Arabidopsis thaliana: one gene and its partner. The protein of the gene in region 1 purifies or fractionates together with the protein of each later gene. This does not show direct contact. Each region holds a gene or a part of one and is shown in the gene's direction. Other genes may lie near its edges. The genes, in order: AT5G47690 and AT4G26630.

Evidence for each region.
Region 2: the proteins of AT5G47690 (region 1) and AT4G26630 purify together in Arabidopsis thaliana (affinity purification with western blotting; one study listed by BioGRID). This does not show direct contact.

What each region holds. Positions count from the first base shown.
Region 1 is NC_003076.8:19,313,648-19,321,585, forward strand, and holds the start of AT5G47690 (binding protein), read left to right. Parts: upstream 1-4,020; 5' UTR 4,021-4,251; coding exon 4,252-4,344; exon of another isoform or gene 4,345-4,506; intron 4,507-5,006; coding exon 5,007-5,210; intron 5,211-5,292; coding exon 5,293-5,474; intron 5,475-5,678; coding exon 5,679-5,805; intron 5,806-5,911; coding exon 5,912-6,130; intron 6,131-6,340; coding exon 6,341-6,557; intron 6,558-6,628; coding exon 6,629-6,774; intron 6,775-6,864; coding exon 6,865-7,010; intron 7,011-7,136; coding exon 7,137-7,286; intron 7,287-7,394; coding exon 7,395-7,443; intron 7,444-7,549; coding exon 7,550-7,741; intron 7,742-7,819; coding exon 7,820-7,938. Other genes in the region: AT5G47660 (Homeodomain-like superfamily protein), read left to right, coding at 236-989; NF-YB6 (nuclear factor Y, subunit B6), read left to right, coding at 1,414-1,480, 1,691-2,328; TRM10 (tRNA (guanine(9)-N1)-methyltransferase-like protein), read right to left, coding at 2,682-2,933, 3,038-3,820. UniProt on the Arabidopsis thaliana protein: Cohesin cofactor dispensable during the meiotic division but playing an important role in DNA repair by homologous recombination (HR) probably by helping SMC5/SMC6 complex.
Region 2 is NC_003075.7:13,428,878-13,439,503, reverse strand, and holds AT4G26630 (DEK domain-containing chromatin associated protein), read left to right. Parts: upstream 1-3,733; 5' UTR 3,734-3,852; exon of another isoform or gene 3,853-3,908; intron 3,909-4,578; 5' UTR 4,579-4,626; coding exon 4,627-5,661; intron 5,662-5,736; coding exon 5,737-5,770; intron 5,771-6,201; coding exon 6,202-6,284; intron 6,285-6,454; coding exon 6,455-6,514; intron 6,515-6,593; coding exon 6,594-6,704; intron 6,705-6,903; coding exon 6,904-6,996; intron 6,997-7,078; coding exon 7,079-7,162; intron 7,163-7,336; coding exon 7,337-7,835; intron 7,836-8,031; coding exon 8,032-8,123; intron 8,124-8,343; coding exon 8,344-8,374; intron 8,375-8,461; coding exon 8,462-8,631; 3' UTR 8,632-9,099; downstream 9,100-10,626. Other genes in the region: WRKY20 (WRKY family transcription factor family protein), read left to right, coding at 31-186, 479-983, 1,074-1,230, 1,315-1,470, 1,735-2,206; AT4G26620 (Sucrase/ferredoxin-like family protein), read left to right, coding at 9,627-10,004, 10,501-10,586. UniProt on the Arabidopsis thaliana protein: Chromatin-associated protein which contributes to the modulation of chromatin structure (such as super-helical structure of DNA) and function.

The sequences.
Region 1 (7,938 bases):
GATTGGTTGACTGGTGCATCACTGAACACTCTCAGCTTAAAGCATTAAACTTTGCAGATATCAATCAGATTGGTGTGCCGTCATTACAAGCTTTTACAGTGTTGGTTTATACCACTTCTAAGCAGTGTTTGTCTATATATTCTGCGGAACTTTTGGATTATTAGTTCTTAGATAGTGTAACCATGTTGGAAGCTTTGAGTTTTTGATAAGTACTTTCCAATTTTTGATTTTGCAGCTCCTCTGTTGATAGCAGCGATAGTGACTCATCTCCAGACGTTCGCAAGACCGTCACGGGTAAAAGAAAGCGGGAAACAAGGGTAAAGCTGGAGCATTTCTTGGAGAAGCTTGTGGGGAGTATGATGAAGCGGCAGGAGAAGATGCATAATCAGTTGATTAATGTGATGGAGAAGATGGAAGTGGAGAGAATACGCCGTGAGGAAGCTTGGAGGCAACAGGAAACCGAGAGGATGACACAGAATGAAGAAGCACGGAAGCAAGAGATGGCACGCAACTTGTCTCTCATCTCTTTCATCAGAAGTGTTACTGGTGACGAGATCGAGATCCCTAAACAGTGTGAATTCCCGCAACCACTCCAGCAGATTCTTCCGGAACAATGTAAAGACGAGAAATGTGAATCCGCTCAGAGAGAAAGAGAGATAAAGTTTAGGTACTCAAGCGGCAGTGGCAGCAGTGGTAGAAGGTGGCCGCAAGAGGAAGTGCAGGCATTGATAAGTTCGAGAAGCGATGTGGAAGAGAAGACGGGGATCAACAAGGGAGCGATTTGGGATGAGATATCAGCAAGAATGAAAGAAAGAGGGTACGAAAGATCTGCGAAAAAGTGTAAGGAGAAGTGGGAGAACATGAACAAGTACTATAGGAGAGTGACGGAAGGTGGGCAGAAACAGCCTGAGCACAGCAAGACTCGCTCATACTTTGAGAAACTTGGAAATTTTTACAAGACCATTTCCTCGGGAGAGAGGGAAAAATGAGTGAAAGATTTTAAATTTAGGTGTTTTTGGCACGCAAAACGGGAGAACTTGTAGATGATTACCTCGAGTTTAATTTTTATATCTTTGGTGTAGTTTATAATTTAAAACTCTACGGCTCTGTATTTGTAGAAGGTTCGAATAAAAAAGACAAATACGTTGGGGTGATTGGGATTTTGTAACGGCTAAGGGAGACGAGGAGAAGGATCCTCGGTCACATCGATTATGGCTGCCACGTTGTTGAACTTGTGAGGTCTGAAATTACAAATGCTGACACTTGCCAACACTATTAGCTTTATTCCAATTACTCTTTCTTCTCTCTCATTCCATTCTCTTCTTCAAATGCTTCTTAATTTCGGGCATTGGTTATTATTATTTATAGGGATATTCACAAACACAAAAGTCGTGTATTTAGAACAAGAAAGATATGGAACGTGGAGGCTTCCATGGCTACCGCAAGCTGTCCGTGAACAACACCACTCCTTCTCCACCAGGTAGTGCCATTCTCTATACCCCCTCTTTTCACAGGCTCTCTTCATTTCAGTTGCATGCGAAACCATTCTCTGCAATCCCTCCATTGTCATGTCTGTACTCTTTTCATGACGAACAGTTAATGAAATAGCTTTTCAATCTTATAAACCGCGCATGCAGACGTCATCGAAGCCATTATGCACTAAAACTTCCATTTTTCTTATTTTTGTTAGGATTAGCAGCGAATTTTCTGATGGCAGAGGGCAGTATGCGTCCTCCAGAATTCAACCAGCCTAACAAAACCAGTAATGGTGGTGAGGAGGAGTGCACGGTGAGGGAGCAAGACAGGTTCATGCCTATTGCCAACGTGATACGGATCATGCGGAGGATCTTACCTGCTCACGCCAAGATCTCAGATGACTCCAAGGAGACGATCCAAGAGTGTGTTTCGGAGTACATCAGCTTCATAACAGGGGAGGCTAATGAGCGGTGCCAGCGGGAACAGCGCAAGACCATCACTGCTGAGGACGTCTTGTGGGCAATGAGCAAGCTCGGTTTTGATGACTACATCGAACCCCTCACGTTGTACCTCCACCGCTACAGAGAGTTGGAAGGTGAAAGAGGGGTTAGCTGCAGTGCTGGGTCCGTTAGTATGACCAACGGCTTGGTGGTCAAGAGGCCTAATGGGACCATGACCGAGTATGGAGCCTACGGGCCTGTGCCAGGGATTCACATGGCGCAGTACCATTATCGTCATCAGAACGGGTTTGTTTTCAGTGGTAACGAACCTAATTCTAAGATGAGTGGTTCATCTTCAGGAGCAAGTGGCGCCAGAGTTGAAGTATTTCCGACTCAACAACATAAGTACTGAGAACAATGGCTAATAACATAGACAGCTGACAGAGTCATAACTGTTAGTAGGTGCAAGCTGTAGCTTATGAATTCAAGTTTAAGCGAAAACAATGCTGCTTTTTCTTTGTTTATTATCTATCTAGTTGAAAGAACATTGTGTTTTTCATCTGATCTGTCTTGTGGTAAAGTATGTCAATAAAGCATTAGTTTTGCAAACCGCATGCATGTGATATTACAAAATTCACGGTGAATTCGTAATGCGTCTTGGTTCAAAATAGAAAGAGACTAAACATTCCAGATTTCAATTCTCAGCTACAGAAATGAGTGTTTAACGGATACAGAAACAACTCTCACAATCTTCATTCATTTCATTTAGCTACTACTTTCCAAAGGAACTTCAACGCATACCTTTTTCCTCTCCAGAAGATCATGTTTGTCTGCACTCTCGTTTGCCTCAGTATCTTTCTCCTGATGCTCTTCAGATATATGTTCCAATTTCGAACAATCAACAGGATCAAGTCCGGTTCTTTTCCTCTGAGGAATCACAGTGAAGAAGGCTGTTTTCCAGTCCCTAGTCTCCAGAAACTTGACGAGTATCTCCAAAACTTGGTTCACAGTGAGAACCTAAATCAATAAAAACCACAAATCTTACATTAACAAAGTACATAAAGTAGAGGTTTTTTGTGTTGTGCCCAATGAGACAAGAATTGAAGTGGCCATTTAGTTACCTGAGAACTTGACATTTTCATATACTCTCCTATGGGAAGCTTAGCTGTTTTAATGCCTTGTTCTTGAGCCTTGGTCATGGTGATCCCTTTGAACCGGTTTCGATCCACTAAGCCACCGATAATGTAGATATGCTTAGGGTCAAGATCATCCAAAACAGTTTCAGAATCAGCCGTAAGATACACCAAATTATCTTTCTGATCAGCCATGGCTTCAATGTAACACCTACTTTCCTTTTCAATGAACCATTTCTCAAAACCAGGAAGCTTGTCAAGCTCAGTACTCATCTTCCCTTGGACTCCTGTAAGCCATAGATGACAAGGTGAAGTGCTTCTCCCATTCACCGCATAGCAATACATAATCTGCTGAACGAGGCTTGAGATCTCAGACTCAGACATGAGATGAGCAAAATCAACATCTACTACGATCTTTTGACCTATTTCTTTAGCTTGATTCAGCCTCTCTATCTTCTTCTCCTTCTCCTCCGATCTCTTCTCCATTCTCTCCTTCCGCAGACTCTTCCTCGACTCAATAAGCTTCAGCCTCTCTTCCTCCGTCGCGTTCGCTAGGGTTTCTTCCCATTCCTTAAGCTTTCTCTCTCCTTCTTTTCTCTTATGCTCCTTCTCCTGTGCCTTCTTCTCAGCTTTCTTCGCTTCGTATCTTTGCTGCTTCAGCTGCTTCTTCTGAGCATTCTTCGACAGGGGAGGCGAAACGTTAACCGGTGCCGGTTCAGATTCTGGTTTATCGAAGCAGCCGTTGTCGTCATTTCCCGTCGCCGCCGCCATTGCCGCGAGAAAGCAAAGCGAGAGAGCAAAGAAGAAGGGTCAAAAAACTAAAATTGAAACTCCACTCAAAACGACGTCGGTATTCTTACACTAATGGGCCTGGATGTTTAAAAAGGGGCCTGTTAAACGATGGGCTTTAAGAATGGGGAAAAAGGGTAAAGAGAAGAGAAAGTGAGGGACCATCAATATAAAATAAGAGAAAATGAGGAAGCGATGAGAGACACAAAGCCGTCGTAAGTCAGCTAATCGGGGCTCTTGTTGTGTTAGAGAGAGCTCAGATCAGATGTGGCTTTCTTCTTCTTCTCCTTCTTCTTCCGCATAGTGACTCTGAGAACCAGATTATTCAAGAAAATACCCTTTTTGTTTCCTTGTTCGTTTATTGTGGCTCGTCTCTAACAGCTTCGGTTTAAGAGTTCTCTGTTTCACTCCCCATGGCTCAGAAGCCGGAGGAACAGTTGAAAGAGCTGGGATCGAAGCTTGACCTAGCTCCTGTTTCTAAAGATTCATTGCTCAAACTCTTAAAGGTGTGATTCCCCATCTCTACTTCTCATTGTCTCTTCTACAATTTCTCCAAGTTTCGATTTTTCGTTTGGAGGGAACTTTTTTCCATCTTTGTCCCCTGTTTAAATTCTGCCAAATTGGAACCGAATAAAGTTTTCAGCTTTGTAGATCCTCTTCCGTTCTGGGTAATGCTCATTAATTGAGCCAGTGTTTTCTTCTTTCGAGCTGCGTTAGGGTTAGTTTGTACCATCTTTTTCGTCTACGCTAGATTGTTCTTGCGAAATTAGGTCATGCATAAAACTCGGGACTGTTCCTAGGAGAACCAATTCAGTGTCTATAATTGCTTAGATTTGCGACTTTTATGATGTCTGCTGTTAGAATGTCGAGTTTTTAGGGTTGGCCCTAGTATTTTTCTGTCCCTGGTCATGATGGAATTGAACTGCGCTATCTTCACCAGCAATTTGACTGATGCAGTAGTTACCCCAATGTTCAGTTTCTACATTGACTAAGATGTTTCTTTATCAACCACCTTTGTGGAAATGTGATTTGCTTTTGATTGGTTTCATTGGGGTGAATTGGTCGGGTTAGTTTACTAAGATATCTCTCTCCTTAAACACTTTTCCGTGCAATACTGTGACTGATTTATCAAAAAGACTTTCCTTAACTTGTGTGTTGCTACATGCAGGAAGCTGCTGTTTGTCTTTCTGAGTTGGAGCAGTCTCCACCACCTGCAGTGCTCAAGTCCATTCAGCCTTTTCTTGATGCAGTTATTAAACCTGAAATTCTCAACCATCAAGACAAGGATGTCAAGCTTCTTGTTGCAAGCTGCGTTTCTGAGATAACTCGTATTACAGCACCTGAAGCGCCTTACAGTGATAATATTATGAAGGTTGTTTGTCCTGACTTTCCTCTGGCACCGTGATCACAGACATGTCCATTACTGATTTCTTCTGTTTCCTATCTTGTTTCAGGATATTTTTCAACTAATTGTGAGCGCTTTTGCTGGGTTGAATGATGTCAGTGGTCCATCATTTGGAAGGAGGGTTCTCATTTTAGAAACGGTTGCAAAGTACAGGTCATGTGTAGTGATGTTGGATCTTGAATGTGATGATCTGGTGAAAGAAGTGTTTACTACATTTCTTGATGTTGCTAGGTGTGTTTCACTTTCAACCTAGATTTCTTTTCTGAGTGATTATAAGTTCCGCTGATTTACAAAACATCTTCAAATTTTCTGATTTTCAGTTGTGCTTTTCGTTGGTGTTCTTGGCTAGTAATACAAAATATGAATGGTTTCTGTGATTTTTTTCTTTTCTTTTGGGCTTCATACTGAAAGATTGTTTTATTTCTGTATGTGCAGAGATGACCATCCGGAGATTGTTTTCTCATCAATGCAAAATATAATGATTGTTCTTTTAGAAGAAAGCGAAGATGTGCAAGAGCACCTTTTACTAATTTTACTCTCTAAATTGGGCCGCAATAGAAGTGTGAGCATACTCACGTTGCTGGCTCTGGCCACTGATTATAATCCAATTTAGGATTCGTTGTTTTATGGAATATCAGACAGCTCATATTCTGCATTTATGATGGCAGGACGTTAGAGATGCTGCAAGAAGACTTGCTATGAAAGTCATAGAGCATTGTGCGCCCAAAGTTGAATCTGACATAAAGCAGTTCCTTATCTCTTCAATGTCTGGAGATAGCCGATTTTCCAGCAGTCAAATTGACTACCATGAGGTTATCTATGATTTGTACCGCTGTGCTCCTCAGGCCCTATCTGGAGTTGCACCATATCTCACTGGAGAGCTTTTGGTATAATTTTATTTTTGGTCTTCTGCCACTATCTTGCACGTCAAATGTCATCATGACTCTGCCATGCACAATACTTTTATTATTATGTATTTTGTTTGAATAATCACTCTTATCCATTTGTTGTTTCAATACTTTTCATGTGGTATGAGCCCATCTTTTCAAGTAGATTGGTATTGAATAATACATAATGCATACTATTAACATATACAGGCGGATAAACTGGAAACTCGTTTGAAAGTGGTTGGATTGGTTGGAGAGTTGTTTTCCTTGCCTGGACGTGTCATCTCTGAAGAGTTCGATTCAATTTTTTTGGAGTTTCTGAAAAGGCTGACCGATAGGGTAGTTGAAGTTAGGATGGCCATCCTTGACCATATTAAGGACTGTTTGCTCTCAGATCCTTTGAGAGCTGAGGCTTCTCAAATTATATGTAAGCTTTCTTTATCATGCCATTAATATGCATTAGAATTGACTAATCTTATAGTGTTAATACTTATGTAGCTGCTCTCTGTGACCGGCTCTTGGATTATGATGAGAATATCCGCAAACAAGTTGTTGCTGTTATTTGTGATGTGTCTGTGAGTGCATTGACGTCGATTCCAGTTGACACTATGAAGTTAGTTGCTGAACGGCTTCGTGACAAAGCTGTACGTTTTATGTATTCAGTCTGGTTGTCTCTGATAGTTGCATACTAAAATTTGAAGACATTTGAACTCATAGTTCTTTTTCTAATTCAGATACTCGTAAAAACATACACAATGGAAAGGTTGACTGAGTTGTTCCGGGTATATTGCTTACGGTGTGCTGATGGGAAGGTAGACACTGGCGATTTTAATTGGATTCCTGGAAAAATCTTGAGATGTCTTTATGACAAAGATTTCAGGTGCATTTGTCTAAAACATTTTTGAACCCTGGCTCCTTTTCTTTTATTCTTGGGGTTTACTTAATTCTAGTTGATTAGTATCATAACCTTTAAAAAGATGATCTAAATATATTATATGTGTTGCAGGTCAGATACAATTGAGTATATTCTATGCAGTTCACTGTTTCCTAGTGATTTCTCAGTAAGAGATAAAGTTAAGCATTGGATACAAATCTTTTCCGGGTTTGACAAAGTGGAGACCAAAGCTTTTGAGAAGATACTGGAGCAAAGACAAAGGTGTATTTGATGACTTTTTTTATTGCACTTAAATTATTTTGAAGGATCGTTGTCATGCTGTCTTTTCGATACTGAAGATTTATTGTGGAGAATTGTTTTGACCTTTAGGATACAACAAGAAATGCAAAGATATTTGTCAATCAAGCAGACACAACAGGTTCGACCAAAGATAGTTGAAGAATTTTTCTTTTAAAAATTTTTTGGTTGGAATTTTTCCCTTTTAAGTTTCACTATCTAGAACCTTATATTCTGTCTCAATGCAGACTGCTGATGCTCCTGAGATTCAGAAAAAGATCCTATTTGGATTCAGAGTTATGTCACGTGCATTTTCTGACCCCCCAAAGACTGAGCAAAACTTTTTAATTCTTGATCAACTGAAAGATGCTAATATCTGGAAGATTTTGACTAATCTGCTTGATCCCAACACTAGCATAACGCAAGCATCCAGGATTCGGGTGAGAATAACAAGAAGTTTGTATTTACATATAGATTTACTTTCGACAACCTTATAACTGGTTTGTGGTTGTGTGCAGGATGATATGCTTAAAATACTCTCTGAGAAGCATTCTCTCTATGATTTTCTCAGCACTCTCTCCATAAAGTGTTCTTATCTGCTATTCAGTAAGGAGTATGTGAAAGAGATATTAGCGGA
Region 2 (10,626 bases), on another chromosome or scaffold:
TAATAATATGCCACTTTCTTTAACTTTCAGCCAGAACCTTCCCCTACTACTGGTTCTTTGTTCAAGCCTCGACCAGTGCACATTTCTGCTAGCTCAAGTTCTTATACAGGCAGGGGGTTCCATCAGAACACCTTTACTGAGCAGAAGTCCAGTGAATTTGAGTTCAGACCTCCTGCATCAAATATGGTATTGTCCAAAACAATGCTGTTTGTTATGCTTTGCATGTAATGTACTGTTCAGATAGTCGACGACATATGAACCCCGAACAGTGGCTGACCTAATTTTTCTGCACGAAGTCTATTTATTCAGCGCTTGGATTGCTTGTAAATCTCAAAATCTTTCGCCTTTGCATACATATAATACCATGCCAGCCTTAAATTGTTTCATAAGGAGCCTTGTATCCAAAAGCTCACAGTTTATAAGTTACTTGTATATTGTTGGGGGATGACTTTGTCTAAACATCTTTATTGATTTCAAGGTATATGCAGAGCTTGGCAAGATTAGAAGTGAGCCACCAGTACATTTTCAAGGCCAGGGCCATGGATCCTCACACTCACCTTCTTCGATCAGTGATGCTGCAGGTTCCTCAAGTGAGCTAAGCCGGCCAACTCCTCCTTGTCAGATGACACCAACGAGCTCAGATATTCCGGCTGGATCTGATCAAGAGGAATCAATCCAGACTTCCCAAAATGACTCCAGAGGAAGCACTCCATCCATCTTGGCTGATGATGGTTATAACTGGAGAAAATATGGTCAAAAGCATGTCAAAGGGAGTGAATTTCCCCGGAGCTATTATAAATGTACACATCCTAATTGTGAAGTGAAAAAGTTATTTGAAAGATCTCATGATGGGCAGATCACCGATATTATATACAAGGGTACACATGACCATCCTAAACCTCAACCTGGTCGCCGAAACTCTGGTGGTATGGCTGCACAAGAAGAAAGGCTAGACAAGTATCCTTCTTCAACTGGCCGAGATGGTAATCATAACTAAAACTTGAGACAAATATGCACTTACTCCCTTGGCAATATCTATAACTTTTTCCTTCTACTCTTATGTCTGCATACAGAGAAGGGATCTGGCGTCTACAACTTGTCTAACCCCAATGAACAAACTGGTAACCCTGAAGTACCTCCTATCTCAGCATCTGACGATGGTGGAGAAGCGGCAGCGTCAAATAGGAATAAAGATGAGCCGGACGATGATGATCCATTCTCAAAACGGAGGTATTAGAGTTTAACAAAGGATTCAGGTGCTTGATTTGAATCTGTGATTTGACATGATTAAAACTTTATTTTAACTTTATGTAGGAGGATGGAGGGTGCGATGGAAATAACTCCACTAGTGAAACCCATCCGGGAGCCTCGGGTTGTTGTTCAAACTCTGAGTGAGGTTGACATTCTGGATGATGGTTATAGATGGCGCAAATATGGGCAGAAAGTCGTAAGGGGGAACCCAAATCCCAGGTTTGTACAGCATTAAAGCTTTTAACACCCCAAAAAATTCCTTGCTTTTTTCTCGAATGAACATACATAAACATAACTTGCGAGTTCAAAATGGTAGCTAGAACAGTTTAGTCCTTGTCTTCAGGACCTAGTTATTTGACATGTGCATAAAGTGTTGCTTCTTTTAGGAATTTGGTTTGGAATATGGAAGATAGTGATCTTAACAGACTCAACATGTGCGCAATGGAGATATTATGTTTCATGATGTTCCTCGGCCTTTTGTAGGAGCTACTACAAATGCACAGCTCATGGATGCCCAGTGAGAAAACACGTGGAGAGAGCATCACATGATCCAAAAGCTGTAATAACAACATACGAAGGCAAACACGATCATGATGTTCCCACTTCAAAGTCTAGCAGCAATCACGAAATCCAGCCTCGGTTCAGACCAGATGAAACAGACACCATCAGCCTCAATCTTGGTGTTGGAATCTCATCTGATGGACCTAACCACGCTTCCAACGAACATCAGCACCAGAATCAACAACTTGTCAACCAAACTCACCCAAATGGAGTCAATTTCAGGTTTGTTCATGCTAGTCCCATGTCATCCTACTATGCTAGCTTAAATAGCGGTATGAATCAGTACGGCCAGAGAGAAACAAAGAACGAGACTCAAAATGGTGACATCTCGTCCTTGAACAATTCATCTTACCCATATCCGCCCAACATGGGGAGAGTACAATCGGGTCCGTAAAACAAAAAGTAAGCAACATTATGTACGGGATCTTCTTAGGTTAGGAATGGGACGAGGCCTTGTTCTATATAATTCCTATTTCTTCACAGAGAGCTGATCTTGATTCAAACTATCTCCACCATATATATTTGTTTGTGTCACCTGTATTGAGTTCCAAAAATGTTATGTAAAAATACACAACAAGATGTTAATGCTTTTATTTAAACAAGAAACAGCAATATTACTACAAACTATTTCTTCTTCACCGTAATTAGATATGCTCCATGAAAGAAACACCACGACGGTACTTAAGCTACGTGGTCCTTAAGCAGACAATTACAACTGTTGCCCGTTTTTCAATAATAGTTTCTCAACTTTTAGTTCTAGACTTCTAGATTTGTCAAAAACTCATAATAATGAGATATAAATACTTCGACTAGGTGATTTACCATGGGACAATATTAAACTTTGTTCAATTATTTGGAAGGTTATACTATACAGTCTCTATACAAAATTAAGAGATTTGTGCAAGAAGTAGATTGGCAATTAAAACAGTAACCTTATTCTCTCTTACATGTATCTAGATTATTTGGTGGAAGTTACAATCTCTAATTTCATATTTAGAACTTTTTTTTTTCCGAAGCATTTACTGTTGTTAAAGACAAACATATTAGATTCTTTTAGATCATAGTACCCGTTAAGCAAATAAAAATTTTGTCGCTATCAAACTAATGACATTATAAGTCATTTATAATCATCGTCGTCAAAATAGTCTTGTTTTTTTCACCGGACCAGTGAATCATTTTCATCTTTTGCGGAAAGGTAAAAATCGGATTATCATGTTAATTTTTTTGCAAAAATTGACAACGCTATTTATGGTAGCGGATCGAATCCATCATAAAAAATATTTAAATATAAAATAACAAAATTTGTTAAAGTCACTTATACAATTCTATTCAATTAGATCATTTTACCTAATATAGCGTTGTTTAAATCAATTATAATTGAACATTCAACGAATTCGTTAAATTTCTTTAAAAAGAAGTACATTTTAAGAAAGAGTTTGTTTTAATCATTTGTTCAATCACATAAACTTAGCTTCCTTATCATAAAGAAGTAAAACAATTTCATTAATATTAAACCGATATAGCAATTATTACGTATCAATTTTATTTTTATCTGTTATATAGTAATTTTATAGATAATTTATTTACAAAACTATCATATCATTGAAAAATTACCAAATTAAATTTGTAGTTAAAAAAATATATTTTTCTATAGGTCACAAACATTGAATATGTTAACTTTTTTTGTCCAAAAACCTAATATAAAATCCTTGAAATATAAAGTCTAGGCTCGGTACCTGGTTCGGAACCGGACGTTAGGGTAGTTTATAGCGTCATCGATCCACGAGATGCATCAAACATAAAATCTGAACCGTTGATGAACTCTATTACAGCAATGAAATCGGACGGTAATGATTCATCCTAAGCCTGACGTGGCATTAAATTGTATTTAAAATCTGGCTTTGCGTCCGAATCCTTGAATTTCTCTCTCCTAAAAAACGCTATCAAAAAGAAAAACAAAAGCTATTTGTTCTGTTTTGTAAGAAAAAAAGTAGTTAGAGGAGAAAAAAAACTCAGTGCCGAGTCTTGTGATACTCTGAGGTGAGATTCCGAAGTCTTCTGCTTTAGAACCCTGTGGATACTCTGCTTAAATCTTTGTGAGCTTTTATGTTTTGAGCTTTGTTTGAATTCGCATGTTCTTTTGGTTCTTCTTTGTGTTTGTTTAAAGTTGCGATGAGAAGTTAGGGTTTCTCATGCGCTTCTTTTATTTGTGAATTTCGATGTTTTGATTATTTATTGTCTTTTTGATATCTGATGCTATTAAGTTGTTGACAAAATGCATGAATTTGACGTTGATTGACTTGATTTCGAGAGATTCAAGATGGGTTTGTGTTTTGTCTGAATCTGTGTGGTGTAAGCTCTGGAGATTTGTCTGAATGAAAGGGTGTTTTTTGGTTTCATTTGTCCATCTGGATCTTTGTTCTACTGAATGTATAAGAAGCGAGGATAAATGATGAACCTTCGAGATTTTGGTTTCTTAGTGACTTACGCGAAATTTCCATTTAGTTCTTCTTCTGCAGATCTAAAGTGGGATTAAGTGATAATTATGGATCAATAATGAGATCTAAATTAGATTTGTCTTATTGTTGACTAGCCAAGTTTTAGATGTTGTTTTCCTGGAATTAGTTTTTTTTCGCATATATGCTAAGTGTGAATTCAATGCGTTTTACATGTTCTTTATGTCAAGTTGTTCAATTTCTTTATAGAGAGCATTAATTTCTGCTATCGTAGCAATATTAATCCTCTGAACTGATTTCTCATTCACAGCCACAAGAAGTGTTTTTGGTGGAAGGATCTACTGAACTGGTTTGTAATATGGGGGAAGATACAAAGGCAACCATTGAGCCAACCGCAAACAAGACTACTTCTCTTGAAAAGCCATCAGAGGCTATGGCTGGAAAGGAGAATGCTGGGGGTAAGGAAACACAAGAACTGGCGAAAGATGAGGATATGGCTGAGCCAGACAATATGGAGATAGATGCTCAGATTAAGAAAGATGATGAAAAAGCTGAGACGGAAGATAAAGAGTCAGAGGTTAAGAAAAATGAAGACAATGCTGAGACTCAAAAAATGGAAGAGAAGGTTGAGGTCACCAAAGATGAGGGACAAGCAGAGGCTACCAACATGGATGAAGATGCCGATGGAAAGAAAGAGCAAACTGATGATGGTGTTTCAGTGGAAGATACTGTAATGAAGGAAAACGTGGAATCTAAAGACAATAACTATGCCAAAGATGATGAAAAAGAGACCAAAGAGACAGATATTACTGAGGCAGACCACAAAAAAGCTGGGAAGGAGGACATACAACATGAAGCTGACAAAGCAAATGGAACAAAAGATGGCAATACAGGAGACATCAAAGAGGAAGGGACACTGGTAGATGAAGACAAAGGGACAGATATGGATGAAAAAGTGGAGAATGGGGATGAAAATAAACAAGTGGAGAATGTTGAAGGAAAAGAAAAGGAAGATAAGGAAGAAAATAAAACAAAGGAAGTTGAGGCGGCAAAGGCTGAGGTGGATGAGTCAAAGGTAGAAGATGAAAAAGAAGGGAGTGAGGATGAGAACGACAATGAAAAAGTGGAGAGCAAAGATGCAAAGGAAGATGAGAAAGAGGAGACAAATGATGATAAAGAAGATGAAAAAGAAGAGAGCAAGGGTTCTAAAAAGCGTGGGAAAGGGACGAGTTCTGGAGGAAAGGTTCGCGAGAAGAATAAAACCGAGGAAGTAAAAAAGGATGCAGAGCCTAGGACTCCTTTCTCTGATCGCCCTGTGCGTGAGCGGAAATCTGTTGAGAGGCTTGTTGCATTGATTGATAAAGACTCCTCGAAAGAATTCCGTGTTGAAAAGGTTTGCCAAAACTTTCCTGAGCTGAGTAGAACTTTATTGCTAGATATGTTTATAATAATCCTTTGGATATTACAGGGGCGAGGTGCATATCTCAAAGATATTCCCAATGGTATGTTCATATTCTATCTATCTGTCCTTCAAGCATCTATCTCGAATTATCCTTGTGCTGAAAAGTCTTTTGTGTTAGCTTTCCAAGTTTACAGTTTGAGCCCCTTATTATCTTCAAGTGTGCGTAGCCTAAACGTTCTTTTGTTACGAGAATTCTATGTGCTGGATACTACTAGTTGTTAAATTGCATGTATACTATGGGTGGATTCTTTGATCTATACACTTTTCGGTTCTGGTTATGTGAATCTTCATTTGAATTTTTTTTCTTGGCATTGATCAATTCCAGCCGGCTCAGAAGCAAGATTTCTTGTAAACCAAAATCTAATAATCGCGACCTACCTAAAAAATACCTTTATTGTTCCATTTTTTCATCTTTTTATTTTTGTTTGAAGTTGAAATGAAGTAGATAACTTGAATGTTTCTTCTCTGTAGTTGCTAACAAGGTAATGAGGAAGAGGTCTGATGAAACTTTGAAGCTGCTTCACCCAATTCTATTTGGTGGGAGGAGAGGGAAGGTGAGCGTCTCTTTGGATCCTTTTGACATTATGCTGCTCCAATAGTCATACTTCTAAAATTGTCAATCATGGGCATACTCTTGTAGTTTGAGACCAGTGGTATGGACTCATGTGCTGTAGCAAGTCTGCTAATCATGTTTGTATGTATCTTATTCTTCTTGCTTTAACAGGCTGCTCAGATCAAGACAAACATATTGGGCTTCTCTGGTTTCGTTTGGCATGGAGATGAGGTGTGCAACATTACACATAATGAATGCTTTTACATATGCCTTTGCTTTGTATATAATTGTGGCTCTTTGGTATTTGCAGAAGAAAGCAAAAGAAAAAGTAAAAGAAAAGCTTGAGAAATGCACCAAAGAGAAACTGTGGGAGTTTTGTGATGTGTTGGACATACACATTACCAAGGCTACAACAAAGAAGGTCATTATGGTTATCAATTTCTAAGTTTTTGTTCTTGAGATTCATTTTTTTCCTCTGTGAATAGATACATGTGAAGGTTTAAATTTCTGTCTTTGTTGAGCAGCTTGATTAGCCATTTCTGGTTGTCCAAGTTTATGCTTATTCATTTCCCCATTTAATCGAATCTGGCAACTTCTTGTTGCATGCTTTTTCAACACAGGAAGATATTATTACAAAACTGTTTGAGTTTTTGGAGAAACCTCATGTGACAGGTGATGTGACCGGTGACACTACAGTTTCTGAGAAAGAGAAGGTAATGTGGTGTTGGGAAAGTTTTGTTTGCTTTAATAACTATTGTGCATCTTACATTCTTTAAAAACATTCTGTTGAAACAGTCAAGTAAGGGAGCAAAACGCAAGAGAACTCCCAAGAAAACTTCACCTACAGCTGGGAGTTCATCCTCCAAACGATCAGCAAAGGTAATGCATAGCTTAGAGCTGAGGGCTTGCTTGTTCATTAATCTTGTTATTAACTCTGAAAAGAACGTGTAATCTCAATGTAGCTTATTTGCAACTGTCCATCACTGGTCAACCCGTCAATGTTTCTGGCTAAGTATTTTAATCTGATTATATTATTCTGCACTTCCTTTGCAGAGCCAAAAAAAGTCTGAAGAAGCAACAAAAGTTGTCAAAAAGAGTTTAGCTCATTCTGATGATGAATCTGAAGAAGAGAAAGAAGAAGAAGAAAAACAAGAGGAGGAGAAGGCAGAAGAGAAAGAAGAGAAAAAAGAGGAGGAGAATGAAAATGGCATTCCTGATAAATCTGAGGATGAGGCGCCTCAGCCTTCTGAAAGCGAGGAGAAAGATGAATCTGAGGAGCATTCTGAAGAAGAAACTACAAAGAAGAAACGTGGTTCTAGATTGTCAGCTGGGAAGAAAGAATCAGCAGGGAGAGCCAGAAACAAGAAAGCAGTGGTCGCTGCAAAATCCAGTCCACCAGAGAAGATTACACAGAAGCGGTCATCAGCCAAACGAAAGAAGACTGATGATGACAGTGATACAAGTCCAAAGGCGTCCTCTAAGAGGAAGAAGTCTGAAAACCCTATCAAGGCCTCCCCGGCTCCTTCAAAGTCTGCATCAAAAGAGAAGCCAGGTTTGGTCATTATCCTGTTTTTTTCTTCCAGTAAGATGGTCGCTTAGGTAGAATAAAAACATGTTGGGTGTAGTGTATGTCAGATGCATTGGAGAATCTTATTCCTTATATCTTCATTTTCAGAAGCGAACCAATATACAACCACTAATGTTTTCTGACACCATGTTTATCTCTGTTTGTGTCTATATGCTAAAAGTAAAAAGGGCTGGAAAAGGGAAAGACAAGCCGAGTGATAAAGTGCTGAAAAATGCAATCGTTGAGATCTTGAAAAGAGTGGACTTTAGTACGGTGAGTAATTTCTCAACCTTTTATATGCGATACACTTAACTACTTGGGATGTGTGTGGAATAAAACAAAATTGGATTCTGCCGAACAAACTTATTGGTTACATGAAATAACCTTCGTTTTCTGAAAGCTGATTTGAAGTTTGTTGTGCAATATCTATTCAAACTGTGAATTTCCTTCTATACCTAGATAACCTAATAAGAGCATTGTTGTTCTTCTGCAGGCTACGTTCACGGACATCCTTAAAGAACTTGGTATGAACAGATTGGTTTCAGTCATTTGTTTTTCCAGTGATTCCTGGTTATATATAAAATAAACACATTGTTTCATCCATCTTTCAGCTAAGGAGTTCACAGAAGATCTCACTCCAAGAAAGTCATCTATAAAGATGATAATCCAAGAGGAGCTCACCAAATTAGCAGATGAGGAGGAGGAGGAGGAAAAGAAAGAAGAGGATTCAGAGAAGGAGGAAGCAGGAGGGTCTGGTGGTGGTGAGGAGGTGAAAGCCTAAACTCCTTTCTGATCACATCGCACATATTGAGTCTCTCTGTCAGATACTGTTGCCTAATGCCTAGTAGTCATCTGGCAAATGTGTAAGTTAAATCTGTGGATGTAATATTTTGTTGTTGGAGTCTGAACTGCGTAAAGCAGCTTTACTTTTGGTAGAGACAAGAGGAAGAAGCTGCATAGCCAAAGGATAGGTTGCTTGTATGTCTATAGCATTTAACATAAAAGCCTCCTTGGATTGTCTTTGATTTGTGAGGCTCCCTTTTCGAGACATTGTCAAGGTTTCTTTTGTTTATGTCTTTTGGTTTGAAGGAGGCCAATGGTAATAAATGAATAATATGTTTCTCTTGATTCCCTTTAAGACTTTGAATATTGCAGAAGGAATTTATGCTCATCTTGTATCCTTGATCTATCTCTAACATATCTGCAAATCTACCAACGCAAATCCAGTCTAAGAAATGTAGGAATTGGTACCTCATAAACATATACAACAAAGATTAACATTGATGAAGAAGAGAGTCTGTATTCTTACAGGACCAAAATATACAGAAAAGAATCTGTGCTCTTCTTCTACATCCCCTTTTCGGACAACCCAAACACAAGTTCCAAAAGAATGTAATTGCTGTTGTTACATTCAGAGTACCTAAATAGATTGCAATGGAGACACTGCAAATACATAGAATTCAAAGCAGATGGCTAAACATGGTTAACTATAAGCATAAGCAACACTTGTCCAGGCTTTTATCATTCTGGCTGCAGCTACTATTATCTTATTTGATGTACTAGATTCGAAAAGACCTGTCACACACACAAAGGCAAAAGTACCGGTCCGATTGCAAAATAGAATATCGATTAAGGAGTAAACCGGAATAAGAGTAACGGAATATACTTGACAGACCTCTCTCAGTAGAAGAATCACTGAGAAACTTTCACTTCTTCTTCGTCTCCGTAGTTTCAGTTTCGATCTGTAAAGTTTCAAACTTGTGGTCGAATTTTTAAATGGGAAGTGGAAGAGATAGAGACGACCCTTTATCCTTCACCAGCAATCCATCTACGGCGTCGTCTCCAGTCACTGTATCTGACTATCTCGACAACTTTCTCGGCGAACCCACTTCTCGCTCCGGTAGTTTTCAAAGCGAGAGCTTACTCGGTGGAGGCGGTGGAGAAAGCATCAACGACGCTGATTTTGGATTCGCTCGTCCTGATTTCCGATCGGAACAACTAGCTGGAACCGTACAGTTTTACGAGAGGCATGTCTTCTTGTGCTACAAAAAGCCATCTGTTTGGCCCGCAAGGATCGAGGCTGCTGAGTTCGATCGATTGCCTAGGCTACTCTCTGCTGCTGTATCGGCCAGAAAGGGTAGCATGAAGAAGGAGGTCAGCTTTTTACTCTACTATTTTCTGATTCCATTGATTCAGCTTGTTCGCTGTTAACTTGCATCTCCTGTTTCCAAGTATATTGCTTGATTCTCATAAATCTAGGTCTGATTGTTTCCAATAAGTCTCCCAAATAAGCAAAAAGCATTTGCGTTCACTTGTTTTGGCTTACTTAAAGTATCTGTTTAAGGTCGTAATGAGTCATAAAAACTCTTGCCTGGTGACTCTTGGGATTTCTGTATGGGTCAAATAAGGCAAAGTTTCTATTTTTGGCACGATTCTATGGCTAACAACATAATAACTTGTCTATTGGCTTCAAGATGGGATCTTAGGACTTGCACCTCCGTTTTTTGAGCTATGACAGTGGTGAACTTAAGTGGAAATGGTGTCTGTAATGGATTGCTTCTTTTCGGATAGTCTCATGATGATGCCTTCATGATTGTCTTTTGCTTTGTGCCTCATGTTTTTTTTTTTTTTTTTGGCCATTGTTTCGTAGACTCGACTCACAATATGTGAGGGGCATGATGGAACAGAGACATCCAATGGTGATGTACTTATTTTTCCTGATATGATCAGATACAGGTAAGGGGTGAAGTCTTCCTAGTTGGAGATTTCTTAGATT